Linked DNA regions of Elephas maximus indicus. The protein of the gene in region 1 interacts with the protein of each later gene in a biochemical or structural test. Links are inferred from orthologs where the notes say so. Each region holds a gene or a part of one and is shown in the gene's direction. Other genes may lie near its edges. The genes, in order: MAPK8, ITCH, GSTP1 and JUN.

What was found.
Region 2: of the proteins of MAPK8 (region 1) and ITCH, one has a biochemical effect on the other in vitro, tested with the Homo sapiens proteins (2 studies listed by BioGRID). The link is inferred for Elephas maximus indicus from reciprocal best matches to the Homo sapiens genes MAPK8 and ITCH.
Region 3: the proteins of MAPK8 (region 1) and GSTP1 form a complex in vitro, tested with the Homo sapiens proteins (2 studies listed by BioGRID). The link is inferred for Elephas maximus indicus from reciprocal best matches to the Homo sapiens genes MAPK8 and GSTP1.
Region 4: of the proteins of MAPK8 (region 1) and JUN, one has a biochemical effect on the other in vitro, tested with the Homo sapiens proteins (76 studies listed by BioGRID and IntAct, with this or other methods). The link is inferred for Elephas maximus indicus from reciprocal best matches to the Homo sapiens genes MAPK8 and JUN.

What each region holds. Positions count from the first base shown.
Region 1 is NC_064834.1:1,515,097-1,523,178, forward strand, and holds the start of MAPK8 (mitogen-activated protein kinase 8), read left to right. Parts: upstream 1-4,826; 5' UTR 4,827-5,014; intron 5,015-8,082. UniProt on the Homo sapiens protein: Serine/threonine-protein kinase involved in various processes such as cell proliferation, differentiation, migration, transformation and programmed cell death.
Region 2 is NC_064843.1:35,061,981-35,070,183, reverse strand, and holds the start of ITCH (E3 ubiquitin-protein ligase Itchy homolog), read left to right. Parts: upstream 1-4,984; 5' UTR 4,985-5,091; intron 5,092-8,203. UniProt on the Homo sapiens protein: Acts as an Acts as an E3 ubiquitin-protein ligase which accepts ubiquitin from an E2 ubiquitin-conjugating enzyme in the form of a thioester and then directly transfers the ubiquitin to targeted substrates.
Region 3 is NC_064825.1:130,624,929-130,632,405, forward strand, and holds the start of GSTP1 (glutathione S-transferase P), read left to right. Parts: upstream 1-4,233; 5' UTR 4,234-4,304; coding exon 4,305-4,305; intron 4,306-4,641; coding exon 4,642-4,677; intron 4,678-4,918; coding exon 4,919-5,025; intron 5,026-5,126; coding exon 5,127-5,214; intron 5,215-5,637; coding exon 5,638-5,741; intron 5,742-6,786; coding exon 6,787-6,894; intron 6,895-7,285; coding exon 7,286-7,474; 3' UTR 7,475-7,477. UniProt on the Homo sapiens protein: Conjugation of reduced glutathione to a wide number of exogenous and endogenous hydrophobic electrophiles. Involved in the formation of glutathione conjugates of both prostaglandin A2 (PGA2) and prostaglandin J2 (PGJ2).
Region 4 is NC_064821.1:103,111,631-103,118,128, reverse strand, and holds JUN (transcription factor Jun), read left to right. Parts: upstream 1-4,438; 5' UTR 4,439-4,470; coding exon 4,471-5,460; 3' UTR 5,461-5,815; downstream 5,816-6,498. UniProt on the Homo sapiens protein: Transcription factor that recognizes and binds to the AP-1 consensus motif 5'-TGA[GC]TCA-3'.

The sequences.
Region 1 (8,082 bases):
ATGATTGGGTGGGATTGTGCAAGTAGGGTAATTGTGGCCCTCCAAGGGGATTAGTCAGTTATGTCATCCCAGCGGGCCTGAAATGAGCCATCTCAGGGGTGGGAAGGAGAAGATCCCCTTACGAAAGAAAGAAAAACAGCCAAGAGCGGAGCTCATCCTTTTGACCTGGGATCTCTGCTCTGAGAAGCTCCTGGAACCAGGAGACTAAGAGAGAGACAGAGAGAGATGTAAAACTGAAGATGGCGAGATGCAGTGGCAAAGAAACGGTGTGGCAGGAGAGACCAGCAGGAGAGGGCACAGTGGGCTCCCTAGCCCACAGAGCAAGAAAGCTGAGTGCCTTTGGGCAGGAGGCTTGCTGGCAGAGTAGGGAGCCTCTGGGCACTTATTGGCAGAGCTAAAAGAACTTTGTAACACTTGCCCCAGCAGGGTAGAGGCCGAGGGTGAGAGAGAGACCTGCCTGTGAGCATAGATGGGAAGAGGCTGTCTTGATGGAAGAGCTGTATCCTGATTGTTCCTGAACCTGAGTTGTAACCTATTACTTACCTAATAAACCCCATAATCATGAGTACCGTCCATGAGTTCAGTGTCGCCATTGCAGTGAGTTACCAAGCTCAGCAGAGAAGTAGAGAGTGCCGTGGGAGGGACAGTTGGTGTTAGAATTGGTAAGGATAGTGGATACAGGAGCCATGTCTGATCTCCATCTCATAGGAATCAGCCTTGGGCTGTTGATCTTGATTCTCCTTCCCTCTTGTGAAGTTAGAGGAGGTCAGATGCCACTTGCACATCAATTTTGCAGTGGGCATGCACTAAATATTTATGAGAAAAATGAAGGAAGGAGATAAAGAAGGCTGTGAGGGAGGGACTCCCTGGGTAGTATTAACAGTTAATGTGCTCAGCTGCTAATTGAAAGGTTGGCGGTTCAAGTCCACCTATCGGCTCCTTGGAAGACAGGTCTAGCAATCTACTTCTGAAAAGTCTGCCACTGAAAACCCTATGGAGCAATCAAAATAAATGGTATCACTAAGAAGTGCTCAGGAGAGAAGGATGTTTGTACTAAAAAAATTGACATATATAATTTGGCAACACCAACAATGACCAAAAAATGAGTGTATGGTCACATATGTATGTGTGTAGGCATACAGGTGTATTAGTAGGTACAGGTGTATACATATATGTGTACAGATAGTAGTAGCTATATAAAAAAAAGTAAAGGTATATATGTGCAGGCATATATATTCATATAGGACTCAATTACAGACACCTTTCAGACATAGACAAACACCTTAAAGAGATTGGTTTTCTTGGTTTGAAGGCTTAGGACCTTAGTGTGACAGGACAACTCAGTCAATTGGCATAACATAGTTCACAAAGTTCATGTTCAGCATCCTAGTGAGGTGAGTAGCATCTTAAAAGCTTGCAAAAAGCTATCTAAGACACAGTTATTGGTCTCTACTCATCACGAACAAAGAGAAAGAAAGAAACCAAAGTCTCAGAGAAGAAACTAGTCTATAGGGCTAATAGTTTTCACTACCCACGGCCTCCTTTACCCTGAAACAAGAACCAGATGGTGTTCAGCTACTGCTGCTGACCATTCTGATATGGGCCACAATAGATGAACCCTGATAGATAAGGAGAAAAACACGAAACAGAACTCTAATTCTTAAGAAGTCCATACCTGTTGGACTAATTGAGACCAGAGAAATCCCTGAGACTATTGCCCTGAGACACTTTTCAAATCTTGAATTGAAATGATCCCGAGGCCGCCTTTTAGCTAAATAACAGAGCAGCACGCAAAATAAAGGATATCAGCCACTCAGCTGTCAGATTGTTGTGCTGTGGTGGCTTGCGTGTTGCTGTGATGCTAGAAGCTGTGCCACCAGTATTTCAAATACCAGCAGGGTCACCCATGGTGGACAGGCTTCAGCGGAGCTTCCAGACTAAGACAGACTAGAAGGAAGGACCTGGCAGCCTACTTCTGAAAAAACTGGCCAGTGGAAACCTTATGAATAGCAGCAGAACATTGTCTGATATAGTGCCAGAAGATGAGCCACTCAGGTTGGAAGGCACCCGAAAGACAACTGGGGAAGAACTGTCTCCTCAAAGTAGAGTTAACCTTAACGATGTGGATGGAGTCAAGCTTTCGCTGACGTGGCACTACTCAAAATAAGAAGCAGCAGCGGACACACTGGCTGCAACAATGGGCTTAAACATAGCAGTGATCGGGGAGGATGGTGCAGGACCAGGCAGCGGTTCGTATTTTGTACATAGGGTCGCTATGAGTCAGAACCAAATCGGTGGCACCTAACAGCAACAACAACAAGCCATGAGTACAGTCCTCTTAAAAAAAAAAATCTAAAGGTCAACAATTACTCTAAAGCAAAGATGAGAGGACAAGGGGGCTGGGAAAATAGAGTACCAGAAATGGAACAAACAGCGCAGTGAAAGAGAATGTTGACTCCTTGTGAAAAACGTAACCAATGTCTCTGAACAAACTGAATAGAAATTGTCAAGTGGGTACCTAATTTACTGTGTAAACTTTCACCAAAAACAATATTATTAAAACAGAACAACCTTATGCAGCACAGTTCTACTCTGACACACATGGGGTTGGAATGTGTCAGAATCAACTCGAGGGCAACTGTTGAGGGAGGAAGAAAATGAAGAAACAATGAATGAAGGAATGAATGTTCACATTTATGTACCATTTCAGAATCACTTGAAATAGGTCAACCCAACATGTAATGAGAAGATAGACTATCAGCAGTCACTCATACTCTTCGATGAATATTTATGCGTTCAATATTCAAGTAACTCATTTACTTCTAATTATGAACATTTGAGAACTTAGGTACATCTGATCCAAACCATGATATTTTTGATCAGCTCATACGCATTTGAAAGCTGGACAATGAATAAGGAAGACTGAAGAAAAATTGATGCCTTTGAATTATGGCGTTGGTGAAAATATTGAATATACATACCATGGACTACCAGAAGGACAAACAAACCTGTCCTGGAAGAAGTACAGCCAAAATGCTTCTTAGAAGCAAGGACGGCAAGACTTGTACTTAGGATGTGTTATCAGGAGGGATCAGTCCCTGGAGAAGGGCATCAAGATCCTCAATGAGATGGACTGAGACAGTAGCTGCAAAGATGGCTCGAACATAACAACGATTGTGAAAATGGCGCAGGACCAGGCAGTGTTTCTTTCTGTTGTACACAGGGTCGTTCTGAGTCAGAACCAACTCGGCACCTAACAACAACATGAACATAACTGCTCTTCTTCGAAATCATGGAAAATACCTAAAGTATAGAAGAGAAACAAATCATCTTTCATTCCAAATCCAGTGGTTAGTCTGCTAAAATAATTTGGCATATTTCTTTCCAGGTTTGTTTCTATGTATGTGTAGTACATAAGTGGGACCATTCTGTACATATATATAGACATACAGACTTGGGGCCCTGGTGGTGCAGTGGGTAAGGATTTGGCTGGTAAATATAAAAGTTGGCAGCTCGAATTCACCAGTAGCTCCTTAGAAACCCTCCCTATAAATCAGTTCCACTCTGTCGTATAGGGTCGCAATGAGTCAGAATCGACTCGAGGGTAAGGGTTATATGGTGTGGACTTGTATCTTGCTTCTTTCTCTTAAGGACAGATTATGAACATTCCCCATGTCATTAAGAATTCCTTGAACACGTGGCTTTCAGGTTGCTAAAATGCCTTCCGCTACATGGATGTGGCGCTCTGGGGGCCGGTGGTTAACAGCTATGGCGAACTAAAGCTGCTGACCAAGAGGTCGGCAGTTCGAATCCACCAGCCGCTCCCTGGGAACTCTGGTAATTTAAATATCTTTCTACCAATTTTTGGATATTTAAGGGCTTGCCAATTTAACACTACCGTTTGCTGCCTAATTTCGTGTCACGCTTTGTGGGGCCCCAAATCGGGTAATATGACTTGCTAGACCCGGGTAGGTGCCTCAGAATGGTACGTATTGTCCGTGCCTGGGTGGGGGTGCCTGCTTGAGGTGCGGGTTTGGTCTGAGCGCGCCTGACCTTCAAGCCCGGCCGGAAGCTTTTTCTCAGACTAGCTGACAGCCCCAGGCAGATGCCGAGCGCTGGGAACCGACGCCTCCACGTGCCCCGCGCAGGGTCCCGCCCCTCCGGCCGCCGCCACGCCCCTCGGTCCCCCGGCCGTCCTCTCCCGCAGCTCCATTTCCAGGCGGCCTCCGCGAGCGCGCCTTCCCCGGAATAGCCCCGCCCCCGGGCCGCAGCCACGCCCCTCAGTCCCTAGGCCATCCTCTCCCTCAGCTCCACGCCTTCCCCGGGAGTAGCCCCGCCCCCGGGCCGCAGCCACGCCCCTCAGTCCCCAGGCCGTCCTCTCCCGCAGCTCCATTTCCAGGCGGTCTCCGCGAGCGCGCCCTCCCCGGAGTAGCCCCGCCCCCGGGCCGCAGCCACGCCCCTCAGTCCCCAGGCCGTCCTCTCCCGCAGCTCCATTTCCAGGCGGTCTCCGCGAGTGCGCCCTCCCCGGAGTAGCCCCGCCCCCGGGCCGCAGCCACGCCCCTCAGTCCCCCGGCCGTTCTCTCCCGCAGCTCCATTTCCAGGCGGCCGCCGCGAGCGCGCCCTCCCCGGAGTAGCCCCGCCCCCGGGCCGCAGCCACGCCCCTCAGTCCCCCGGCCGTTCTCTCCCGCAGCTCCATTTCCAGGCGGCCGCCGCGAGCGCGCCCTCCCCGGAGTAGCCCCGCCCCCGGGCCGCGGGCTCCACCCCCAGAATCCGGGCCCCGGGCCGCTCCGGCCCCGCGGGCCGCTCGGGAGGCGCGGGGGCGGGCCCTACGCGATGACGTGCGCGGGCCTGCGCGGTGGAGGCTCGCGTCCCTGTTACTCAGCGGAGCGGTGGCGGCCGGACTACGCGGCCCGGTGGCGGAGCCGCGAGCTTCGCTGGGGAACGGCCGCGGCCGCTGCGGGACGGCGCCTGTCCCCGCCGGCGGCTCCGTTGTCCTCGTCCGCGCCTCTGCCGGGTGAGTGCGGCGGGCGCCTCGGGGCCGGGGCGAGCGGGCGGCCGGGCGGACGGCCCTCGGTGTTTGTTATTGTGCGGCTGCCGCGCCGCCTTCTCCTCAGCCCGACCCCCTCCCGGCAGTGGGGGCGGGGGCGCGGCGGGCGGCGGGCGGCGCGGGAACAATAGCGGTCGGGAGGCGGCGGCCGGGCCGGGGCGGGGTGCAGGCGGGCCCGAGCGGCGCCCCGAGCGGCCCTGACGGACCCCGAGCGGCGCCCCGAGCGGCGCCCCGCCTGACCCCGAGCGGCCCCGGCTGCCTCCCCACGGGGCCTGCGGGGGCGCGCGGCGCTCTTTGTGCGGACGCTCTGGGCGGGCGCGGGCGGCCGCGCGGGAAGGGCCTCCAGCTCTGGGCGCCCGGCGGAGGGCGGTGGTCTCCCGAGGTGGGCTTGCGGTCCGCGGTCGGCGCGTCTCCCCGGAGGGGCGCCCCGTGGGGGCCCCGGGCTTTTCTCCCCACCCTCGTCCCTTTGTCTGCGGCTGTGTCCCCGACCCGTGGGGGCAGGGCCGAGTCCGTCTGAACGTATCTGACGGGCGCCTTTCGTCTGAGTCGCGAAAAACTCCCGGTCAGACCTGCCCCGCGGGTCCCTGCCGCGTCGCCCGCGCGCTCCGACGGTGCCCGGGGTCGCTCCGTGTCCGCCTCTGGGCGCCGCGCCGGGGCTCCGGGGAGACTGGACGGCCAGCGCGTTGTCTCCACACGAGCGTCCCGGAGGCGCCTCCTTGGCGGTCCCAGCGTCCGTCTGTCTGTCGTTCATTCATTCACTCAGCTCCTCCCGTGAGCTGTACGCAGATCTGTTTGAAGGTTAGGGGAGGCCCGTGAGTGGTGCGTGTTAAAGAAGAGAGAGTCGTGCTCTGGGCGTTTTTACACATTTTTGTTTTTGTAGTACGGCTGGAACTTCTAATGTCAATAGGTATTAGGAACTGGAGTCAGATTTGCTGTAAGTCTACAACAGATTTTATTTATTTCAGGTTTTATCTCCTAGGGCACTTTGTAATGGTTACCTCAGATTCCCCTGTTACCTTCAAGCCTAGGAGGTCAGATTTCGGAAGTGAACCTGCTTAGTGTTGTCCCCAAGCCAGGAACGTCTTACATCCGTGTCTTCAGAGCCTAGTCTGCAATATAGCAAGTGCCGAATAGTCAGACAGATGAAACGCTCTTTATAATTGGTAGTATTTAAAATTAAGTCTTTGAAAAAAACCCAAAAAACTTCTAATGTTCTCCATAAAGTTCCAGAGGCTTCATGCAAACTGTCACTTCCAGATATCTAATTGATCGGTTCATTCGTATTATCTGTCATGGCAATAGAGGCTTTTGAATCACTCCAGCATCAATTTTTTCCTGTCACTTCTAGGCCATATCCTAAAATAAACCTTGTCTAAAGTATGGTTTTTTAGTGTGATTGATCAAGTAAGGTAGATTGTGTTTTGTGTGTATATGTGTATGTGCAGCACATCCTTTTGTGAATATTATTTGAAAGATTTTCGGTGACTCTAAGTGGAAAAGCTAGGACAGAAGAAACAAGCTGCACAAATGTTTTATTAGGAGTGCCTAATTTATTTCTAATAAATTTTTGTAAATGTTTATTAGAAATGTTTAAATTCCTTGTCCTTACACTTTTGACAGAACATTTGGCTCCCAGTCTCTCTCCAACTAACTAAATACATTCTAGCATAGTTTTGGATATGAAAGGATTTGAGGCGAACTTCTGTTATCCAATGTAGGGTAGAAATGATAAAATTAGAAAATGATACTTTATTAAGATGAGGAATGAAAACTTTGAGATACAAACGTTTACTGCTTTACCTAGTTGAGATTTGTCAGATTCCAGTAAGGGTTACTGATAAAAATCCTTTGGCAGCAGCTCACAGTCAGGCTACATTTAGAATGAAAGTTTTTTGTTTTGTTTTTCTAAATTCTGTTTTTTTAATGGTAGCTTTTTTGAGATATAATTCACCCATACCGTAGAATTGACCCTTTTAGAGTGTACAATTTAGTGGTTTTTTAGTATATTTACAAAGTTGAGTATTGATCACCATGGTTTAATTCCAGAGCGTTTTTATCACCCTAAGAAGTGACCCCATACCCATTGGCAGTCAGTGTCCACTGCCGGCTAAACGCTGTCTTAAAGGAAGAGATAGCACTGACTCTGTTAGTAGGTGTATTCCATTGATGGGTTTGAAAAGGACGCCCTCTACGTGTCCTGGTAGATTAGGAAGCTATATTCTTTCTATTCCTTTACATCCTGGGGGAAATGCCACTTGGAAAGAAAATTGGGGTAAGAATAAATTATACCAAAATTGAAGAGGTTAGAATCTTAAGTATTTGCTTTATACTTAATATTATGGAAATGACCTCGTGGGGATACCCAGTGCACAGTGAAACAACTTGAAGTAATTTGTTGTTAAATGACTAGTCACATAGTATTGTGGTGGTAATTAAGAGTGAATCCAAGCCTGATGCTTGTTAGTCTGCTTTGCCGGCGAGTTGAGTTTTGACATACTTGAGTCATCTGGATGGTTGAGGTGCTTTGTTGCACATGTAGAAGTATAAAAGCATGCTGACCATTGAGAGGCCAGCTCTCTAGGGACCTCTGGTCAGGAGTGGTATGGGTAGTGCCCTTTCTGACTCATATAGTGCAAGGAAGTCTATGACCACACAGCTTTAGATATGAATCGTTGGCCTGTTTCAGTAAGCTGTGATGCTTATTGTCTTAGTCATGAGCTCCTTACCTGAACGTTTAGAAGCTTTGTGTTTTTGCTTGAACGCAGGTTACCTTGAAGTTTGATTTCACAGATGAGTTCTGATTCAACAGAATTTATGACTTAAAAGGTGACCCGCCAAACCCAAACCTGTTGCTGTGGAGTTGACTCTGACTCACGGAGCCCCGTGCACTGTATCACAGAGTGGAGCTGCTCCATAGGGTTTTCTTGGCTGTGATCTTAATGGAAGCAGTTCGCCAGGCCCTCTTTCTGTGGAGCCTCTGGCTGGGTCCAGGAGTAGTGAAAGAAGAGTCGTCCTATCAGTCAGGGTAGTAGATG
Region 2 (8,203 bases), on another chromosome or scaffold:
TACTCCTTCTGGGACTGCATCCCGTTTCCAAGCCTCCTCTTCACCTGAGAGGCCTGGGAAGCTCCTTTCCTTGCTGGTAGTGGCCTCCTCTGCCCCTCCTGCTCTTGCTCTGGCAGGGCTGGGTCCTGTGCTGGCCTGCCCTGGGTGTCCAAGGCAGGAGGATGAAGGTGGCTTGAGGCTTTATCAGCCCCTGGCCCTGCATGCTGGCCAGGCCAAGATTGGCCTGAGCTCTGGATCCATTCACACTGCATAGAAGATGAGGAGACAGCCAAGCTGGAATCCCTGCACTCACCAACTCAGCTTCTCCTTGGAGAAGCATCACTACCTACCCTTGATCTCCTAGAATTTTCACAACATCCTAAGAGGTAGGCTGTTTTATTCCCGTTTAGAGATTTAGTCACTGAGGTTCAGGTGACTTGTCTAAGACCCCTAAGCCAGTTGTTCACAGAATCAGGACTAGATGCTTGATCTGTGTGTCTCCAAAGCCCCAATTTTTTTTTTTTAAATTGTGGTTTAAGTGAAAGTTTATATATCAAATCAGTCTCTCATACAAAAATTTATATACACCTTGCTATATACTTTTAGGGTCACTATGAGTCGGAATCGACTTGGCGGCAGTGGGTTGGGTATATACTTCTAGTTGCTATGCCCCTAATGAGACAGCACACTCCTTGTCTCCACCGTGTATTTCCCTGTCCATTCAGCCAGCTTCTGTCCCCCTCTGCCTTCTCATCTCCCTACCAGACAGGAGCTACCCACATAGTCTCATGTGTCTACTTGATCCAAGAAGCTCAGTCCTCACCAGTATCATTTTCTGTCTTATAGTCCAGTCCAATCCCTGTCTGAAGAGTTGACTTTGGGAGTGGTTCCTGTCTTGTCCAAAGCTCAGATTTTTAACTCCTGCTAGACAATGCCTTCCTTGTCAGAACTAATCTACCCTGTTGGTGCTAGCAGGGTTAGGATAGTGTCATCCAGTGGTTCTCAAAGTGTGATCCCTGGGCATCAGCATCAGCTGGGAACTTGTTAGAACTGCAAATTCTTGGGCCTTACCGTAGACTTTCTGATTCAGAAATTTTGGGGTGACACCCAGCAATCTGTTTTAACCGGCCCTTCACATAATTCTGATGCACTGTAAAGGTTGAGAACCTTTGGCACATAGTAGAAAAAGATGCATTTTTGTAACAAAGCAAGTATGTATTTAAAACATTTTTTAAAGTAAATTTTGATTGAAATATAATATGAATAGAGGAAATACACAAATCCTAAGTACGTGGCTCAACGAATTTTCACAAAGTGAACACACCCAGGTACCAGTACCCAGATCAAGTTACAGAATATTATAACCAGCACTGAGAAGCCCCTTTTGTGCTGCATTCCAGGTACCACCTCCCCTCAACGGGTAACCACTATCCTGATTTCTAATACCATAGATTAGTTTTGGGTAATATTTATCTAGTTTTAAAAATTGTGGACAGTGCCCATCAACAGATGAATAGATAAGCAAAGTGTGGTATATCCATTCAATAGAATACTACTCAGCCATAAAGAAAAAGGAATTCCCGAAACATCTTACAACGTGGATGAACCTGGAGGACATTAGGTTGAGTAAGATAAATCAATCACAAAAAGACAAATATTGTATATTCTCACTTTTAAGAAATGACAATAGAGACCAATGTTCATTGGTGGTTACCAGGGGTGGAGAAAGGAGAAGATGGTGAAGCATTCTCTAGGTAGGAGTTACTTTGTGTCTATGGTGATTGGAAAGGTGGCTCCAAGTGGGGGTAGAGTTTGCACAGCTTGACTAATGTCATTGATAATCGATAAACTGTGCATAAGAAAAAAGAGTAAAATGGCAAATGCTGTTATATATAACTTTGCAACAATAACAACAATCAAAAAAACGAAAATGGGGGGCTACAGGCTACAGATGCTGATACTAATTAGATATAACCAATCACCTCATGAGATTAGCTCTCTCTTGGTTTGAAGGCTTAGGGTCATGGTCTTGTGGGACAATCAAGACAACTGGCATAACATAGTTCTTTTTTTTTTTTTTTAATTTTTATTGTGCTTTAAGTGAAAGTTTACAAATCAAGTCAGTCTCTCACACAAAAACCCATATACACTTTGCTACACACTCCCAGTTACTCTTCCCCTAAAAAAAAAAAAAATTTTTTTTTTTTTTTTTTAATGAGACAATCTGCTCTCTCCCTCCACTCTCTCTTTTCGTGTTCATTTCGCCAGTTTCTAACCCCCTCCACCCTCTCATCTCCCCTCCAGACAGGAGATGCCAACATAGGCTCAAGTGTCCACCTGATTCAAGAAGCTCACTCCTCACCAGCATCCCTCTCCAACCCATTGTCCAGTCCAATCCATGTCTGAAGAGTTGGCTTTGGGAATGGTTCCTGTCTGGGGCCAACAGAAGGTCTAGGGGCCATGACCACCACCGGGGTCCTTCTAGTCTCAGTCAGACCATTAAGTCCGGTCTTACAAGAATTTGGGGTCTGCATCTCACTGCTCTCCTGCTCCCTCGGGGTTCTCTATTGTGGTCCCTGTCAGGGCAGTCATCGGTTGTAGCTGGGCACCATCTAGTTCTTCTGGTTTCAGAATGATGTAGTCTCTGGTTCATGTGGCCCTTTCTGTCTCTTGGGCTCGTAATCGCCTTGTGTCCTTGGTGTTCTTCATTCTCATTTGATCCAGGTGGGTTGAGATTAATTGATGCACCTTAGATGGCTGCTTGCTAGCGTTTAAGACCCCAGACACCACTCTTCAAAGTGGGATGCACAATGTTTTCTTAATAGATTTTATTATGCCAATTGACTAAGATGTCCCCTGAAACCATGGTTCCCAGACCCCTGCCCCTGCTACGCTGGCCTTTGAAGCATTCCGTTTATTCAGGAAACTTCTTTGCTTTTGGTTTAGTCCAGTTGTGCTGACCTCCCCTGTATTATGTGCTATCTTTCCCTTCACCTAAAGTAGTTCCTATCTACTAACTAATTAGTGAATGCCCCTCTCCCACCCTCCCTTCCTCCCCACTCTCATAACCACAAAAGCATATTTTCTTCTCAGTTTAAACTATTTCTTAAGTATAGTGGTCTTATACAATATTTGTCCTTTTGGTACTGACTAATTTCACTTAGCATAATGGCATAACATAGTTCTTAAAGTTTATGTTTTATCTCCCAGTACGGTTAGTAGTGTCTTGGGTCTCAAAAGCTTATGAACAGCCATGTAAGATACAACTATTGGTTTCTATTCACCTGGAACAAAAGAGAAAGAAGGAAACCCAAGAATCAGAGAAGGAACTGAATTACAGGACTAATATGAACCGTTGCCTCCTCCACCTTGAGGCCAGAAGAACTAGATTGTACCTAGTACCTAGTGTTCTGATCAGTGACACAATAGATGGATCCTGATAAAAAGGGAGAAAAATGTAGACCAGAACTTCAGATTCTCTAAGAATCCAAACTTACTGGGTCTATTAGGCTAGAGGAGTCCCCAAGACTACTGCCTTGAGTTACTCTTCAAATTTTGAATCAAAACTACCTCCTGAAGTCACCTTTAAACTAAGTAACAATTTAGCTTAAAAAGTAAAGATTGTCATCCTTGAGTATTACGTTCTTTTTAAAAAATGACCTGTATAAGACCAAATGGACAACAGCTATTTTAAAACATAGATGGGAAGGTTGGGGACTGGGAGTTTAAGTCAATGGAAGTGAAACAACTAGAACAGGAATAAGGAAAATGTTGACACAATGTGAAGAATGTAACCAATGTCACTGATCATTACGTCTAGAAACTGTTGAAGGGGAGCAGATTTTGCTGTAAAAGTAAAAAAATATATATATGTATATAGAGAAACGCAGAATCTGGAGCCTGAGGACTTGGGTTGGATCATTGGCCCCTGGCTGAGTGATCTTGGGACAGTCATTTAATTTATTTGAGACTTGGTTTCCTTCTCTGTTGAATGGTCATAAAAATACCTGGTACCTTAAAGGATCACTAAGTTTCCCAAAAGTACCTGGTGACAAAAATCACCTGGGGCACTAATTAGAAAACCCCTGATTACCCTAGCGCATACATTCTTAGGAACCCTGTTGGCACAGTGGTTAAGAGCTCTGTTTGAATCCACTAGCTGCTTTTTGGAAACCCTGTGGGGCAGTTCTACTCTGTCCTGTAGGACCATTTGAGTCAGAGTGGACTTGATGGCAATTGGCAAAAATTAGTTGGGGGAGTGGTTGGGAGGAGCAGAAAAAAATTGGTGTGTAAATCGGCTCGTAGAACACCTGGCACGTTGGCACTATTTAAGTATAAGCTATTATCGTCATCCCTAAGAGTACCCTGTTAAGAGGTTGAGAAGGGGGGATTTGAACCTAATCAGTGTAACTCCAGAGTGTGCATTCTAGGGTCACTATCAGTCGGAATCGACTTGAAGGCAACAACCCGTTTTTGGTTTTGGTATAGTTCAGTGATTCTTACGTACGTAGTATCACCAGAGAACTCGTTAGAAAGGCAAACGATCAGATCCCATCCTACACCTATTGATTGAATCAGAAACTCTGGGGTTGGGGCCCAGCACTCCATGTTTTAACAAGTCTTTTTGATGCACGCTAGAGTTTAGAGTTGGCACCCAACAAACAACAACAACAGAGTTTAGGAACCACGGCTGTAATCTTTAGAGGTTCTGCCTTCTCGTAGTGACAGAGTAGAACTGCCCCCGCAGGGTTTCCAAGGGGCGGTTGGCGGATTTGAATTGCTGACCTTTTTGGTTAGCAGTTGAGCTCTTAACCACTGCACCACCAGGTCTGGGGAGGGTGGTTAAAAAAAAAAAAAAAAAGCCAATCCGAGAGTTCCTCACACCTGGGGGCGTGGAAGCTTCGCTTTAGCTGCGCTGACCAGCCTCTGCCAGCTCTACTGGACCGGCAGCCGGCCGCGCGCAAGGCCTGCTGGGGCTTGTAGTCCAGGCCGCTCCCTAGCGGAGGCGCCTGCGCGTTGGCCGCCAACTTGCTCTGGTCGCTGTAGTCGGGGCTCGGGACCGGCTGCCATCTTAGTCGAGGAACTGAGGAGTCGCCGCCGCCCCGAGTCCCGGTAAACACCCGCGGGCGGACTGGGGGTGGTTCTAGGGAGAGGGGATAAAGCTGGTAAGAGTATCTCGGGAGAAGGAGGAGTGGAGCAGTGCGGTGCGCAAGGCGGGATCCCAGATCCTCGGCAGCTCCTTCCCTCAGCTGGTGCCCGTACGGGGCGCGGGGAGCTCGGGCCGGCGGCCAAGGCCGGGCGGGGGGTGGGTCGGACAGACGTCCGAGCGGCCAGTGCCGGGCCGAGGCTCTCGCAGCCGGTAGTTTCGCGGGCGCCAAGTTGTGAGAGGGCTGGGCCCTGGCAGGCGCGGCCAGGGTCCGGCCGGCGCCCCTCCGCCCCGCCAGGGAGCTACTGGTTCGCGGCCCGGCCTACGCGGGGCAGAGTGGTTGCGGTCGGCGCGGGCGACGTGGCCCCTGTGAGGGGCGGCGGCCAGGCCACCTGCTGCCGGTCTGGCCTTCCCGAAGACTTTTCGGAGCCCCCGGTCGCGAGGGGGACCCAGCACAGCGGCTGCCTCCTCTCCTCCTCCCTCCATTGTCCCCCCGCATGGTGGTCCCGGTCCGGACGCCCCTCCCGGTGCCCGCCACCGTCGCGGCCCCACTGGCGCCTCTCGCCGAGTTTGCAGACGTGGAGCTGTCACCGTCCTCCCTCCTGAGAATGCGCTTTTCTGTAGTAAAGACAAAAGTAGCCGTGGACGTATCCTAGGGGTCGAAACGTGATGAGGACATGAATCCAAGCGGGGAACTCAAGTTTTCACACTTAGTTCCGGGCCGCGACTTAGAGAGAGGTAAACACAGGGTCTGTGCTTCCGAAGACAGACGCTGGGCCTCAAGTTAGCCACCTCTGCAACCAGGTGAACTTGCAAACTACCGAAATTCACGATTCTCAATGACAGCTCGTTTTCTTGGTTGTATCCGCATCTTACTCTTGTTACATTATCTGTTATTATTTCACAGCTGCTATATAGTTTTTTGGGGGGGTGCGGGATGGGCACGGAAGAGTGGGATTTTTCTTTGGAAATTAAATGAGCCCTGAGTCAGTCAGCTACTCACTTATCTTTGCACTTAAATCAGTTCCTTTTGTATCTATTCATAATATAATTTGATTTTAAGTATGTAAATCCTAAACCAAACCCACTGCCATCTAGTCGATTTGGACTCCTAGCGACCCTATAGGACAGAGTAGAGCTGACCTGGGGTTTCCATCCCCCCCCCACCTCCACGGAGTGGCTGATGGGTTGGAACCGCGACCTTTTTTGGTTGGCAGCAGAGCGCTTTAACCACTGTACCACCAGGCTCATTTAAGTATGTAAAGACAGTGTATTTCCACCCTCAAAATCTGCTAAGGACTTCTCAGCTGAAATAAAGTTCTCCCAGCACATCTGGTGAGAACCTGCACTGTGTATTCACAGGTTTACTCAAGGTAGGGTTACTTTGGTTTTGAGATCTAGAAATGAAGGTGGAAATTCAACAACTTTTTTAAACAGTGAGTGTAAGTTTTTTGGGATGTGAATCCAAAAAGAATTCTCCATCTTCAGCATACAAATCAAGTCAACTATGATATGGTATGAATTAAAAAACCAGTGCAGAATACTTCTTCAGCGTATTCTGGTTTAAACCATTTCTACATTCGTTTAAGAAACACGTTATTACACCTATTGGGAGAGACAGAGAAGCTAGTGGTTTTCAAGTTTGACTATTAGAATAATTAGAGAGGTTATTAAAAGTAGAAATTCCAGGATCTCACTTCCTCATTGATTTAGTAGGTCTGGGTTGGCCTCTAAGAATTGATTTTTAAAACATGCCTCAGGTAATTCTGATGGTCTTGGGAACTATTGATGTAAGCAATACTGTGGATATACAGAGGATAGCTCAAAAAACCTTGAGACAAGAGAGGAAGAAGTGACCACTTTTACCTGGGCATTGGCCAGAGAAGTAGGCAGGATCTTCCCCTGGACCTGAAGTTGGGTCTTTGATGATGAGGAGTATCACAGAGGTGGGGAAAAGGAAGGACAGGGCAGGCAGAAGAACTGCTTTAATGCTCTATCTAAGTGCAGAGAGTTGTGGAAGAAAAAAGGTAGAAAAGGAGAAGGTTGTGGGACATGTGGCCAGAAAGGTAAAATGAGTCACCTATGTGAAAAGTTCTAAGTATAATGCTAAAAAATATGAATTTTATGTTGATAGTAATAGGTACAGATTTGTAAACAGGGAAGGGTGTAAATGCATGTGTGATTTAGAAAGATTGCCCTGGAGATAAAAGAGTGAAAAGATGGGAGAGTGGCTGTTGCAGACTCTTGTTAGTAGCTGTCATCTAGTCTGTTTTGACTCATGGTGACCCCATGTGTGTATGCAGAGTAGAACTGCTCCACAGGGTTTTCAAGGCTGTGACCTTTCAGGAGCAGATGCCTGAGGTGCTTCTGAGTAGATTCGAACCACCAACTTTTCTGCTAGTAAATGAAAGATAACAAGGACTAACTTTGGAGAGAGGTTGTGGGGATAATCAAAGGATTGAATTTAACACTTTACTAGTGCAATATTGTTGCTGTATTTTTAGATGAGGCTTTTCTAGGTCTGGAGAAAGGACACGTTTTCTGTCAAAAGAACTTATTAATAAGTCTGAATAATATTGTCAGGTTACATACGTTAATAGTATTAGACTGAATTGTTCGTTAGTGTCTTTGTGAAATTAGAAAGAACCAGGTCAGGTGCAATTTGGAGGAGGACTTGGAATTTTAGACTTATATTTATGACCGTCAACAATATTGATCTAAGCTTGTTGAAAGAGATGTTTTCCCACTCTACAGAAACTTAGTATTTGAATTTTAGAGTTGGAAGAAATTTTAGAGATCATCTAGTTCACAGTGACAAATATATTTTGGCTTATAGGCCAACTCTGATTGGAAATAGCTGCCAGAAGCACTGTGTTGAGAATTCTAATCTTGTCGGTTCTCTGGGGATTGATTAGTGATGCGTCCTGTGGATTCAGTTATCTATGGGTGATACGAATGCTGGGTATATGCTATCCTTGGGCTAGTCCAACTTCTTAGCAAAAAGAGAACTAAAGAGGTTAAATAATTAACCTAAAACTAGTTAAGAGTCAGAGCTAGAACTTTAACCCAGGTTTTCTA
Region 3 (7,477 bases), on another chromosome or scaffold:
TCTCAGTCACCTAGTGCTGCTGTAACAGAAATACCACAAATGGATGGTGTCTCAGTCACCTAGTGCTGCTGTAACAGAAATACCACAGTGGATGGTGTCTCAGTCACCTAGTGCTGCTGTAACAGAAGTACCACAAGTGGATGGTGTCTCAGTCACCTAGTGCTGCTGTAACAGAAATACCACAGTGGATGGTGTCTCAGTCACCTAGTGCTGCTGTAACAGAAATACCACAGTGGATGGTGTCTCAGTCACCTAGTGCTGCTGTAACAGAAATACCACAGTGGATGGTGTCTCAGTCACCTAGTGCTGCTATAACAGAAATACCACAGTGGATGGTGTCTCAGTCACCTAGTGCTGCTGTAACAGAAATACCACAGTGGATGGTGTCTCAGTCACCTAGTGCTGCTGTAACAGAAGTACCACAAGTGGATGGTGTCTCAGTCACCTAGTGCTGCTGTAACAGAAATACCACACTGGATGGTGTCTCAGTCACCTAGTGCTGCTATAACAGAAATACCACAGTGGATGGTGTCTCAGTCACCTAGTGCTGCTATAACAGAAATACCACAGTGGATGGTGTCTCAGTCACCTAGTGCTGCTGTAACAGAAATACCACAGTGGGTGGTGTCTCAGTCACCTAGTGCTGCTGTAACAGAAACACCACAAGTGGATGCCTTTAACAAACAGAACTTTATTCTCTCACAGTCTAGTAGGCTGGAAGTCCCAGTTCAGGGCATCAGCTCCAGGGAAGGCTTTCTCTCTCTGTTGGCTCTGGAGGAAGGGCCTTATCATCAGTCTTTCCCTAGACGAGGAGCTTCTCAGTGCAGGAACCCCAGGTCCAAAGGACAAGCTCTTCTCCTGGCACTATTTTCTTGGTAGTGTGAGGTCCCCATGTCTCTCTGCTCACTTCTGTCTTTTGTATCTCAAAAGAGATCGGCTTAAGATGCAACCTCATCTTGTAGATTGAGTTCTGCCTCATTAGCGTAACTGCCTCTAATCTTGCCTTATTAACATCATGCTGTTGTTGTTGTATGGTGCTGTGGAGTTGGTTCCGATCCAAAGCAACCCTCTGTACAACAGGACAAAACACTGTCCGGTCCTACCCCATCCTCATAGTCGCAGCCACTGTGTCAATCCATCTTAGAGAGGGTCTTCCTCTTTTTTGCTTACGTTCTTCTTTACCAAGCATGATGTCCTTCTCCAGGGACTGATGCCTCCTGATAATATGTCCAAAGTATGTAAGAAGTAGTCTCAGCATCTTCTAAGGAGCATTCTGGTTGTACTTCTTGCAAGACAGGCTTGTTCGTTCTTCGGGCAGTCCAACCTGAGGGTCTCATCTTCCAGCACTATATCTGTCAAAGTTCTGCGGCTATTCATGAGGTTTTCACCAGCTAATCCTTTTCAGAAGTAGACCGCTGGGTCCTTCTTCCTAGTCTGTCTTAGTCTGGAAGCTCCGCTGAAACCTGTCCTCCATGGGTGACCCTACTGGTATACCAATGACGTGGCTTCCAACATCAGAACAACACGCAAGCCCCACAGTACAACAAACTGACAGTCACACTGGGGATTAACATCACAGAGGCAGGATTTACGACGCACTGGAAAATCACATCAGATAACAAAATGGTGGACAATCATACAATACTGGCAATCATGGCCTAGCCAAGTTGACACACATTTTGAGGGGACATAATTCAATCCATAACAAAAAAAAAAACCAATAAAAACCAAACCTGTTGCCATTGAGTCAATTCCAACTCATAGCAACCCTATGGGATGGAGTAGAAATGCCCCATAGGGTTACCAAGGAGTGGCTAGTGGATTTGAACCGCCAACCTTTTGATTAGCAGCCGTAGCTGTTAACCACTGCGCCACTGGGGCTCTGTTGTATATATTGCATTTTTTTTTTTTAATTCAGATCATTTTGTAACTTACACTTTTACTTTAACATTATGTCTTAGACATTTTGCTATTATATCTATTCTATGTGAATGAAATATTTGTGAAGCAAATGGCGTTAAAGATTCTTTAAAGCAGTAAGTTGGCAAACTTTTTTTTTCCGTAAAGGCCAGATGGTATCCGTTGCAACTACCAAACTCTGCCAGTATAGCGCAAAAGCACCCTTAGTGCGTAAGCAAATGGACACAGCTGTGTTCTAATGTAACTTTATTTACAAAAATAGGGAGCAGGTCAAATTTGGCCAGTAGGTTACAGTTCAAAGACCTCAGTTTTAAATCACTGTTTTGAATGACTGTCTAGAGTTCCTTTTAGGATTGTGGTTATTGTTATTGTTCGTTGCTGTCAAGTTGAGTCTGATTCATGGCGACCTTATGTACAACAGAATGAACTGTTGCCGGGCCCCGCACTGTCTTTATGATCGTTGGTACGCTTGAGTCCATGGTTGTGACTATTGGGTCAACCCATCTCTTTGAGGTTTCTCTTTTTCATTGTCCTTCTACTTTACCAGCATGATGTCCTTTTGTACTTACTGGTCTTTCCTGATGTCATGTCCAAAGTAAAAAACTGGAAATCTCACTATCCTCGTTTCTTAGGAGCACTCTCGTTGAATTTATTCTAAGACTGATTTGTTTGTTCATGTGGCAGTCTGCAGTGTCTTCAATATAATTTGCCAATACCATGATTTGCATCAATTCTTCTTTGGTCTTCCTTATTCATTGTCTAGCTTTTGCACACATCTGAGAGCATTGAAAATACCACGGCTTGGGTCAGGCTTGCCTTAGTCCTCGAAGTGACATCTTTCTTTTTAAAACTTTAAAGAGGTCTTTTGCAGCAGATTTGCCCAATGTAACACATTGTTTGATTTCTTGACTGCTATTTCCACGGACATTGATTACTGATCCGAGTAAAATAAGATCAATGACGACATCAATTTCTTCTCCATTCATCATGATGTTTATCTATCCAGTTGTGAGAATTTTCACCTTCTTCACGTTTAGACATAATCCATATTGAAGGCTGTAGTCTTTAACCTTTATCAGTAAGTGTACGTATGTTTGTACAGGCATACACAATGATTTATTAAACCGTTCTTATAAGCGTGTCATATGTTCCTTGCATGTGCTACTACCTGTGGAACTAGAAATGCATATATCTTATAAATAGAACGAATAAATGCATATGCATAATTTTAGGACAAAAATTCAAATTTTGACAAATATGAAAAGACATAAATTTGAAGGAGTTAAAGAATGAAAGGGACTTTTGCCAGCTTTCTATTGAGCGTGTTAGACTTGAGAAAGCAAATGAAGATAAGAAAACTCACAAGGGGAGAGCTCAAATAGTCCACAGCCAGATGTCAGGATCTAAAGCGGTCTCCTTAAGGGGAAGTGTTTACAACATTGAAATGATCAAACACTGGGCTAGGGGGCAGCGTTCAGAATGAGAGAACTCAAGTTACTCTAATTTGAGGTTTGACTTTAGATGACCCACTTTTTTGGAAGGAGAAAGATTTTGGGTTCTTTTTAAGAGTTTCCATTTGCCTCGTATGCATGTTGGTGACGCAGCGGTTAAAGTGATCAACTGCTACCTAAAAGTCGGCAGTTTGAAAGCACCAGCAGCTCCGGAAGAAAGATGGGGCAGTCTGCTCCCGTAGACATTTATGGCCTTGGAAACCCTATGGGGTGGCTTTGAGTCCGAGTCGACTCTATGGCAGTGGGTTTGGCTGGGTTAACGGTAACCAAGCTGGGTAATGGTAACCCACCTAGTACATTTTCAAAATCTGAGCTCTTTTTTTTTTTTTGCTTTATTCTTAGCAGGAAAAAAAAAGGAACAACACGCAAATATCTTGTTAGATTTACATATAAGTTTTATTTTTGAAGGATTTTAAACAGTATTACGCATTGATGTGGAGTCTGTTTCTGACTTATAGCGACCCTGTAGGGCAGAGTGGAACTGCCTCACAGGATTTCCAAGGCTGCAAATATTTATGGAAGCACACTGCCACGGCTTTCTCCCGCAGAGCATCTGGTGGGTTCCAACCACCCACAGTTCCATGACCAGCCAAGCGCAGCAGGATGGGTGCTTGGCGCCGAATACGGGCTCAGTGGGCGGCGGGCTAGGGCGCCCCCTGCGAGGCTGGGTGCTGACGAGGCTGCGCTGTCCCCTGGAACCCTACCGGATGCTGCAGCTCGGGGCCCGCCCAGCACCGTGACTCGGCAATTGGGCCAGCCGGGGCGGCAGGGGTGGGCCGGGGCGGGCCGGGGTAGGGCTGAGCCTTATAAAGCTCAGAGGCCGCAAAGCCTGAGGGTGGATCCCTGTCTGCATTCCCGCCTGCGACTGCGACCAGTAAGTCTGCGCGGGGCCTGGGCCCCAGGGGCCGGCGCGTATCCGACGTGGGGACCGGGATCCCAGGGGTCCGAAGAGCTCCCAGCACGGACCAGGGCTCCCAAGGGGCCGGCCCTCCCAGCGTCGAGTCGGGGCTCCCCCAGTGCCGGGAAGGGGATCCCAGGGGCCTAGGACGCATCCATTGTGGGATGGGGGTTCCCCGGGCCCCTTGGAGCCCCCAGTGCAGAGACCGGCTCCTAGGGGTCCTGAGCGCTCTGAGCTGGGGATGGGGCCCTAGGGAGGGCAGGTGGTGCACCCTTCTCCCAGGCTCTGATAAATGTCTCTTTGTCTTCCTAGTGCCACCCTACACCATTGTCTACTTCCCGGTTCGAGGTAGGGGCCTATGTCTGGGGGCATGCGTGGCAGGCGCTGCAGCCTAGGGACCCCTCACCCACCTTGGGGAGATTCCAGGTCCCCTTATCCCTCCCTCATGTGGCTCTGGGCCTGAGTCTCCTTCCCCCGTCCCTTCCCAGAGGCTCCCAAAGGCAGAAGTGTTCACCCCTTCCCCAGACCTGCCCCCTCCCAGTGTGCTGTGGGATGAGAGCCCTGTCCCCACACCCCTGTTTTTCCCCAGGGCGCTGCCAGGCCATGCGCATGCTGCTGAGTGACCAGGGCCAGAGCTGGAAGGAGGAGGTGGTAACCATGGAGAACTGGCTGCAGGGCCCGCTTAAGGCCTCCTGTGTGAGTGCGCAACCTGGGCCGAACAGGGCTGGGCCTAGGGGGAGACTGGGAGGGGGCAGCTGAGCTCAGGACCCCTCACTGCACCGTATTCCCTCCCCCAGCTGTACGGGCAGCTCCCCAAGTTCCTGGACGGAGACCTCATCCTGTACCAGTCCAATGCCATCCTGCGGCACCTGGGCCGCTCCCTGGGTGAGTCTTGGAGCTGTGGGGGCCCAGCCCGGGGCAGGGGTATGGCACGGCAGCCAGCGTTCCTGAGCCCCTCTCATTGCCAGCCACCTGAGCCTTGTCCATTTAAGTCAAGCTGCCCAGCAACCCTGTGGACTGGAGAGCACCCCATTCTGCAGTTGAGGAAACGAGGCCCACTGAGATTGTGTAACTAGCCTAAGGTCAAGTCCAGCCCTGTTTGAAGTTTTCCAGGCTGCCCCTACTGAGCCTGGGCACCTACAGTGTGTCCAGCTTATCTGTTCCTTTGTTCCTTTCTCCCATCGTGTATCCACATCCTCTCCCCTCCTCCCACCGAGGCCCAAGTCAGCCACATGCCTGTCAGTGGGTCAGCCAAGCGTTGTGTGTTGGTCAGGTGCCCAGTCATGCTGCCCCTCTCCCATCCCCCAGGACTCTATGGGAAAAACCCAAAGGAGGCAGCCCTGGTGGACGTGGCGAACGACGGCGTGGAGGACCTGCGCTGTAAATACGTCACCCTCATCTATACCAACTACGTGAGTGCTGGCCTTGGCTGGCCACTGCAGGCAAACCAAGACAGGGACTTGCTGGAGCCCCTCAGGCAGGGCATCTGGGCTGGGTCAGGCTCTGTGCTAGATCGAGACCATATGGACAAGACAGTCGTTGCCCTCACTGCCTGGGGGTGGACTATGGACAAGCCACAGGCAATGGCAGAACAGTACAAGGACGGGAGACATCGGCCTCAGTGGAGAGGCCAGGAGGGCTTCCTAGAGGAGGAGGTCGAGGATCTATAGCCAACTTCTGGAAGGAGGGGCTGGCACTTTCAGATGCATTTGGGGATCTGGGACCAGTTTAGCAGAGGCAGAGCATGTATGTGTGTGTGTGTGTGTGTGCATGTGTGCACACGTGGGCATGAGCATGTGTGCGTGTATATGTGAGTGTGTGCACAAGTGTTCAAGAGTGTGCACCAGGGTGAGCATGTGTTCCAGCATAGGTGAACGTGTGTGCATGTGTTCATGAGTATGTGAGCTTGTGTGTGTACATGTGCACATGTGTGCGTGTGTGCATGTACAAGCATATGTGTGCACGTCTGAGTGTGCATGTATTTGAGTGTATATGCATGTGTGGTTGAGTGTGTGCAGGTATGTGATCAATATGTTCTAGCAACGTGTGTGCCTATGTACTTGAGCGTGTGTGTGTGAGAGAGAGAGAGAGGGTTGAGTATCAGAAGCTGAGCTGCGGAACTGCTAGCTCCGAAAGGCCTGAACCAGCGTGCTGGACCTTCTGGGCAGTGGGGAGCCATGGAGGAGTATGTGAGGCCTAGAAGGACCCTGGTAGGAGCCAGCTCTGAGTGTTGCAGTAACCTGGGAAGGTGGGAACGGGGTAGAGATGAGTTAGCTGCCGGCACAGGCAGGGTTAGGTGATGGCCTGGGCGTGGGTTGAGCAGAGAGCACTGGGCCTCCAGTCCCCAGCCTGGGGGGTGCCATCACTGAGGGGAGACGGACAGAAGGGGGTGTCTGAGGGCTGGGGTGGGCGGCCGCATGAGCTGGAGGATGGTACACGGCGGCATCTTCTGAGCAGGAGGCAGGCAAGGATGACTATGTGAAGGCCCTGCCCGGGCACCTGAAGCCCTTTGAGACTCTGCTGTCCCAGAACAATGGGGGCCAAGCCTTCATCGTGGGAGACCAGGTGAGTGGTGGCCTTGCCCCGCCCCTTCCACAGCACCCTTTAGAGGGGAAAACAGATGCGGAGGCCCTGTGAGCCACCCAAGGTGGAGGCCGGCCAGGCGGTCTGCCCCTTCCACAGCACCCTTTAGAGGGGAAAACAGATGCGGAGGCCCTGTGAGCCACCCGAGGTGGAGGCCGACCAGGCAGTCTGCCCCGCCACAGCACCTTTAGAGGGGAAAACAGATGCGGAGGCCCTGCGAGCCACCCGAGGTGGAGGCCGACCAGGCGGTCTGCCCCGCCACAGCACCTTTAGAGGGGAAAACAGATGCGGAGGCCCTGTGAGCCACCCGAGGTGGATGCCAGCCAGGCGGTCTGCCCCGCCCGCTGAAGCCCCCTCACCCCTCTGCCCGCAGATATCCTTTGCTGACTACAACCTGTTGGACCTGCTACTGAACCACCAAGTGCTGGCCCCCGGCTGCCTGGACGCCTTCCCCCTGCTCTCGGCCTATGTGGCTCGACTCTGTGCGAGACCCAAGCTCAAGGCCTTCCTGGCCTCCCCAGAGCACGTGAACCTCCCCATCAACGGCAATGGGAAACAGTGAGGG
Region 4 (6,498 bases), on another chromosome or scaffold:
TCTCCTTTTAAAACATTTGGCAGCATTACACAGATATGAAGTTAGGCATGGCCAACATCATGATATATGGAGAAAAGACTGAAGTCGTCAAGGATTTCATTTTACTTAGATCCAAAATCAACACCTAACAACAACATGGCCATGTGGCTTGCTTTGGCCAACAATATATGAGCAGAAGTGATGTGTGACACTTCCGGGTGGGTGTGCTGAGAGCCCGTTCTCTACCCCCAGCCAAAATAATTGTGAGAAGCATGTGTCAAGGTGAAGCTTCCTTCTGTCTGAGTCTTTTGAGTGACTACACTGAATAGAGCTCCCCTTCAGACCCACATAGGACAAGTAGCATGAGCAAAAAATAAACTTTGACTGTAACCCAATGAAAGCCGCTGAGATGTTAGGGCTTGTTACGGCAGCATAAAGCCAGCCTTTCCTGGCTGATACTGGGAGTGAGAGGAGAGATTGGGGAAAGCAGGAGCTAAAATGTAAAGCTCCCCTTCTCCTAGGCAAAGGAGTCTGAACTCTCTTCTGTAGTAAAACCAAAAAAACCAAACCCACTGCCATCAAGTCGATTCCAACTCACAGTGACCCTGTAGGACAGAGTAGAACCGTCCTATAGGATTTCCAGGGCTGTAAACCCTGGTGGCGTAGCGGTTAAGTGCTACAGTTGCTAACCAAGAGGTCGGCAGTTCAAATCCACCAGGTGCTCCTTGGAAACTCTATGGGGCAGTTCTACTCTATCCTATAGGGTCGCTATGAGTCGGAATCGACTCTACTGCAGTGGGTTTGGTTTTGGTTTAAATCTTTACAGAAGCAGATTGCCACATCTTTCTCCCTCAGAGCAGCCAGTGGGTTCGAACCGGCAACCTTTCAGTTAGCAGATAAGAGCTTAATAACTATGCCACCAGGTCTCCTTCTTCTGTAGTAAGGGGGAAGCCAATGAAGGCTTCTAAGCAGGGGCGTTATCATGAACAGATTTGTTATTTCGGGGGGATGAAATATGCCATTTCTCAGCATAAGGAGAAAATCAGCCTACTAAATCACATAAGGCAGAGAGAACACACAGAACCCTTAGGCAAAGGATATATATTTATCCACACTCCTAAGTCTAAATACGGGAGCTTTGAAAGGAGTTACCGTCAGAGATCAGGCAAGATGACTTCCCCTCTCCCACAAGCTCCATTTCTTCTGCAGGCAACTAATACTTCACAAGAAAGTTTATCAGAGCCAAGAAGATACAATAAGGAAATTAATACAAATCCGAGGTCAATTTTCAACTGCCTGTGTGTCCTGAACAAGATACTTGAAATCTCTGGGCCTATTTCCTCACATGTTAAACACAAATGATAATAATATATGCTTATCAAGATGGCTGTGGGGAGAAAACAGCATATTTAAATTGCTTAGGAGAATGTCTGGAAAATACTCATTCAATACATGAAAATCATTTTTATTACGGTGATATTAAAAATTAAGAATACCAGCTCTCTGGTTATAAAATGTAACAGAAAATAATTCATGGCAACAGTATAGAGGACAGTGTTTCCTCCTTAAGGGAAGGAACTGGATTTTGCCATCGTTGCATCCCTACCCCTCCCGCCTCCTCACATTTTGTCCCAGCTCAGTGCTTGGCTCACAGTAGCTACTTAGGTATCCTCTCCCACACGAATGAATGAAGAGTTGAGTGCCTCAAGTGAAAAAAAATCGGCGGATTCTCCACCAACACCAGCTGCTGTTGATTCTGAACTTTCAAAGCCACAAATACCTTAAGGCTGGGGGCTATGAACTCAAGACTGAATTCCCCCGAGTTCAGAGGCAGAAAAGTCAGAATAAGTACCTAGGAACTTCAACTACTACAGATCCAACTTCAAACCCTAGACCTAGAGAGGCGGCCTGGGAAAGAGTTGCCTTCTAACCGGATCCACCCTCACTCACCTCCTCCCCTCAGTGTTCCTCACTGGAAAGCAGACCTTGTCCTGCCAAATTACACTCTTATGTCCTGGCATTCCATCCTCCTACAATGCTTTGGGAAACTTGGAGGAAGGTCAAGGAATGGGTGTTTGGCGACCACCTCCTTAGCCACGGAGGCAAGATGATACACTAACGCCTGCAGCCCAGGGAAGCAGATCTAACCAGCTAACTTGCAGATGAGGGAAGTGAAGCACAGAGAAGTTCAGTGATCGCTCACTTACACTGTGGCAGCACGGGGCAGACAGAACGCAGGATTCCCGACTTCGGTATTCCTTCCACCATACATTTTGTCACTGAAGTGGGGAGGAGTGAGGGGGCGGGGCAGATAAATAACCACCACAGAAAGCAACCACTTATATGTGTCTAGCGCTTCCTAGAGGCTGCACAAGGTATCAGCTCACCACCCAGCAGGGAGTCGAGAGATTTTTAAGCTCCTGAGTCGCTGCGTGACTTTTGGCGAGTCTCTGCCGCTTTCGACACTTGTTTTCCCCGAAGCAAATCAGGGCGGGTGTGTGTGTGTGTGTGTGTGGTGTGTGTGCAGGGTGGGGTGTGTGGTAGAAGATCACCGGGGTTCCCAGAATTTCGGAATCCCTAAACGCTTGTTCCGAAATGGACGCTGAGTTGCCCCCTGATTCTTCCCCCTGTAAAAACCTCACCTCCAAGGCAAAGCTGTAAACTCCTGCAACCCTCTTCCCCCCAGGGTCCCCGAAGGGTGACGTGAGGTGCAGCGGGACTTAGCGGAGCGCCCAGTTTCAAGCAATGCAAACCACTCGGCTCTGGGCACTGCCAGAGAGCGGAGAGGACGGTCGCTCGTGAACTTGAACGAGAGACAAACTTCAGAGCGTCCTCAACGTGGGGGGTCAACCCCCGTGCGACCAGCCCTAAACTTGGGCCCACTTAAGCTCACCCCCACGGGGGACTAAACAGAGCCACCTTAAGGGCGGCGCTCCCGCCCCCGGAAGTGCGGGGGGGTCACCGACGCGGGCTCCCAGCCTCCCAACCCCGCGCGGCGAAATGCCTCGGCCAACTTCGCGCCTCCCAAGTGGCGAAAAACCACACATCACCCCACACCCTCGGCCCCAGACAACTACCCCGGTCCCCCAGCCTTCCGGGGCCCCGCATCCCCTGCATCTCGGTCCCGAGCTTGAGCCCGCCTGGGTCAGAGGCTGGGAGAGTCCTCCCGCTCGCGGCAGCCACCGTCACCAGACAGTCAAACCCCAAGACGTCAGCCCACAATGCACCGGGCGGGCCGGGAAGGACTGGCCTGGGAGGAGAAGGGGGAGAGAAGGGCCAGAGTCGCGCGGGAGGGGGGGGGGGAGGGGGGAGAGGACGAGAAAGAAGGGCCCAACTGTAGGAGGGCAGCGGAGCATTACCTCATCCCGTGAGCCTCCGCGGGTCCGGAGAAGAATCTTCTAGGGTGGGGTCTCCATGGTGACGGGCGGGCCCGCCCCCTTGAGAGCGACACGAGCCAATGGGAAGGCCTCCGGGTGACATCATGGGCTATTTTTAGGGGTTGACTGGTAGCAGATAAGTGTTGAGCTCCGGGCTGGATAAGGGCTCAGAGTTGCACTGAGTGTGGCTGAAGCAGCGAGGCGGGAGTGGAGGCGCGCGGACTGAGACAGACAGACAGAGACAGTCAGTCAGGAAGGCAGCAGAGTCTGAACTGCAAATCTTCTTTTCTTTTCCATTTTCTCGCTAACCGCCCAGAGCTAGCGCCTGTGGCTTCCGGGCTGGTGTTTTGGGGAGCGCCCGGAGAGCCCCTTCTCCAGTAGCCCCGGGAAGAGAGCACCGCTGCCCGGGCGTTGACAGCCGCGGAGAGCTGTGACTGCCCGCCAGCCGGGGGAAGTCCAGCGAGCGGCTGCAGCGGCAAAGAACTTTCCCAGCCGAGAGGAGAGGGGACAAGTGGTACCCGGGTCCCGAAGCGAACGTTTGCAAACCTTTCCTCTTAAGCTGCCGCAGCGGCGATAAAGAAGAAGGCGGCAGGAGAGGAAAGAGAGGAGGGACGCGCGTCCAGCTTCGCTCACACCGGTTGCTGAACTTGGGCGAGCGAGAGCTGCTGGTGCCAGGAGCCCCCTCCCCTCGCAGCGGAGGAGGGGAGAGTCGTCGGAGTCGGGGCGGCTGCGACCCGCCGCCGGCTCGCCACTGCCGGATCTGCACTAAGCGGCACCGCTTCGAGACCGCTGTCCCCGGGAAGCGAGTTCGTCCGAGCAACCACTGCGCCCGCTGAGCGCTCAGTGAGTGACCGCGACTTTTCAAAGAGAGGCAGCGCGCGAGAGCGGAGAAGGAAGGGTGCAGGCGGCATCTTAAGCCTGCGTTCTCTGGAGCGAGCTGGTGAGGAGGGCGCTGGGGGGAGGACAGCCAGCGTGTGCGCGCGCTCTTAGAGAAACTTTCCTTGCCAAAGGCCGCGGGAGGCGCGGGTACCCCTCGCTTGCCAACGCGCTGTTGCGGCCCCGAAACTTCTGCGCGCAGCCCAAACTAACCCCACGTGAAGTGACGGACTCTTCTATGACTGCAAAGATGGAAACGACCTTCTATGACGATGCCCTCAACGTCTCCTTCCTCCAGTCCGAGAGCGGCGCCTACGGCTACAGTAACCCCAAGATCCTGAAACAGAGCATGACCCTGAACCTGGCTGACCCGGTGGGCAGCCTGAAGCCGCACCTCCGCGCCAAGAACTCGGACCTCCTCACCTCGCCCGACGTCGGGCTGCTCAAGTTGGCGTCGCCCGAGCTGGAGCGCCTGATTATCCAGTCCAGCAACGGGCACATCACCACCACGCCGACCCCTACCCAGTTCCTGTGCCCCAAGAACGTGACGGACGAGCAGGAGGGCTTCGCCGAGGGCTTCGTGCGCGCCCTGGCCGAACTGCACAGCCAGAACACTTTGCCAAGCGTCACGTCCGCGGCGCAGCCGGTCAGCGGGGCGGGCATGGTGGCCCCGGCGGTGGCTTCCGTGGCGGGCGGCAGCGGCGGTTTCAGCGCCAGCCTGCACAGCGAGCCGCCAGTCTACGCCAACCTTAGCAACTTCAACCCGGGCGCGTTGAGCAGCGGCGGCGGGGCGCCCTCCTATGGCGCCGGCGGCCTGGCCTTTCCCGCGCAGCCCCAACAGCAGCCGCAGCCGCCACATCACCTGCCCCAGCAGATCCCCGTGCAGCACCCTCGACTCCAGGCCCTAAAGGAGGAGCCGCAGACGGTCCCCGAGATGCCCGGGGAGACGCCGCCCCTGTCCCCCATCGACATGGAGTCACAGGAGCGGATCAAGGCGGAAAGGAAGCGCATGAGGAACCGCATCGCTGCCTCCAAGTGCCGGAAAAGAAAGCTGGAGAGGATCGCCCGGCTGGAGGAAAAAGTGAAAACTTTGAAAGCGCAGAACTCGGAGCTGGCGTCCACGGCCAATATGCTCAGGGAACAGGTGGCACAGCTTAAACAGAAAGTCATGAACCACGTTAATAGTGGGTGCCAACTCATGCTAACGCAGCAGTTGCAAACGTTTTGAAGAGAGACTGTCGGGGGTTGAGGGGAAACGGAGACAAACAAATAACAGAGACAGACTTGAGAACTTGACAAGTTGCGAGAGAGAGAAAAAAGAAGTGTCCGAGGACTAAAGCCAAGGGTATCCAAGTTGGACTGGGTTGCGTCCTGACGGCGCCCCCAGTGTGCACGAGTGGGAAGGACTTGGCGCGCCCTCCCTTGGCGTGGAGCCAGGGAGCAGCAGCCTGCGGGCTGCCCCGCTTTGCGGACGGGCAGTCCCCGCGCGAACGGAACGTTAGACTTTTCTTTAACATTGACCAAGAACTGCATGGACCTAACATTCGATCTCATTCAGTATTAAAAGGGGGGTGGGGGAGGGGTTACAAACTGCAATAGAGACTGTAGATTGCTTCTGTAGTACTCCTTAAGAACACAAAGGGAGGTGGGTGGGGAGGGGAGGCGGGAGGGAGGTGTGTGAGAGGGAAGCTGAGCCTACAGATGAACTCTTTCTGGCCTGCCTTCGTTAACTGTGTATGTACATATATTTTTTTTTAATTTGATGAAAGCTGATTACTGTCAATAAACAGCTTCATGACTTTGTAAGTTATTTCATGTTTGTTTGTTTGTTTGGGTGTCCTGCCCAGTGTTGTTTGTAAATAAGAGATTTGGAGCACTCTCTGAGTTTACCATTTGTAATTTGTAATAAAGTATATAATTTTTTTTATGTTTTGTTTCTGAAAATTCCAGAAAGGATATTTAAGAAAATACAATAAAATATTGAAAAAATACTCCCCACCAACCTCTTTTCTGCATTATCTATAGATTAACCATCTAAGCGGAGTTGAAAGAGTTAGGAGTGTCAATTAAAATCATTCTCAATGCTTACTATCAAGCAATAAAACCTATTCTATATTGGACTTCAGAAACTGATATAGCTGAGGCTATGGTCAAGTTATACTCTTTCCTCCCCCAACTGTCTACATAGAATTGCTTACCAAAGGGCAATGTGTATCAAGGGGCTGGGGAGATGGGGTTAAGGTGGAGTGGGACAGCCCACTGGGAA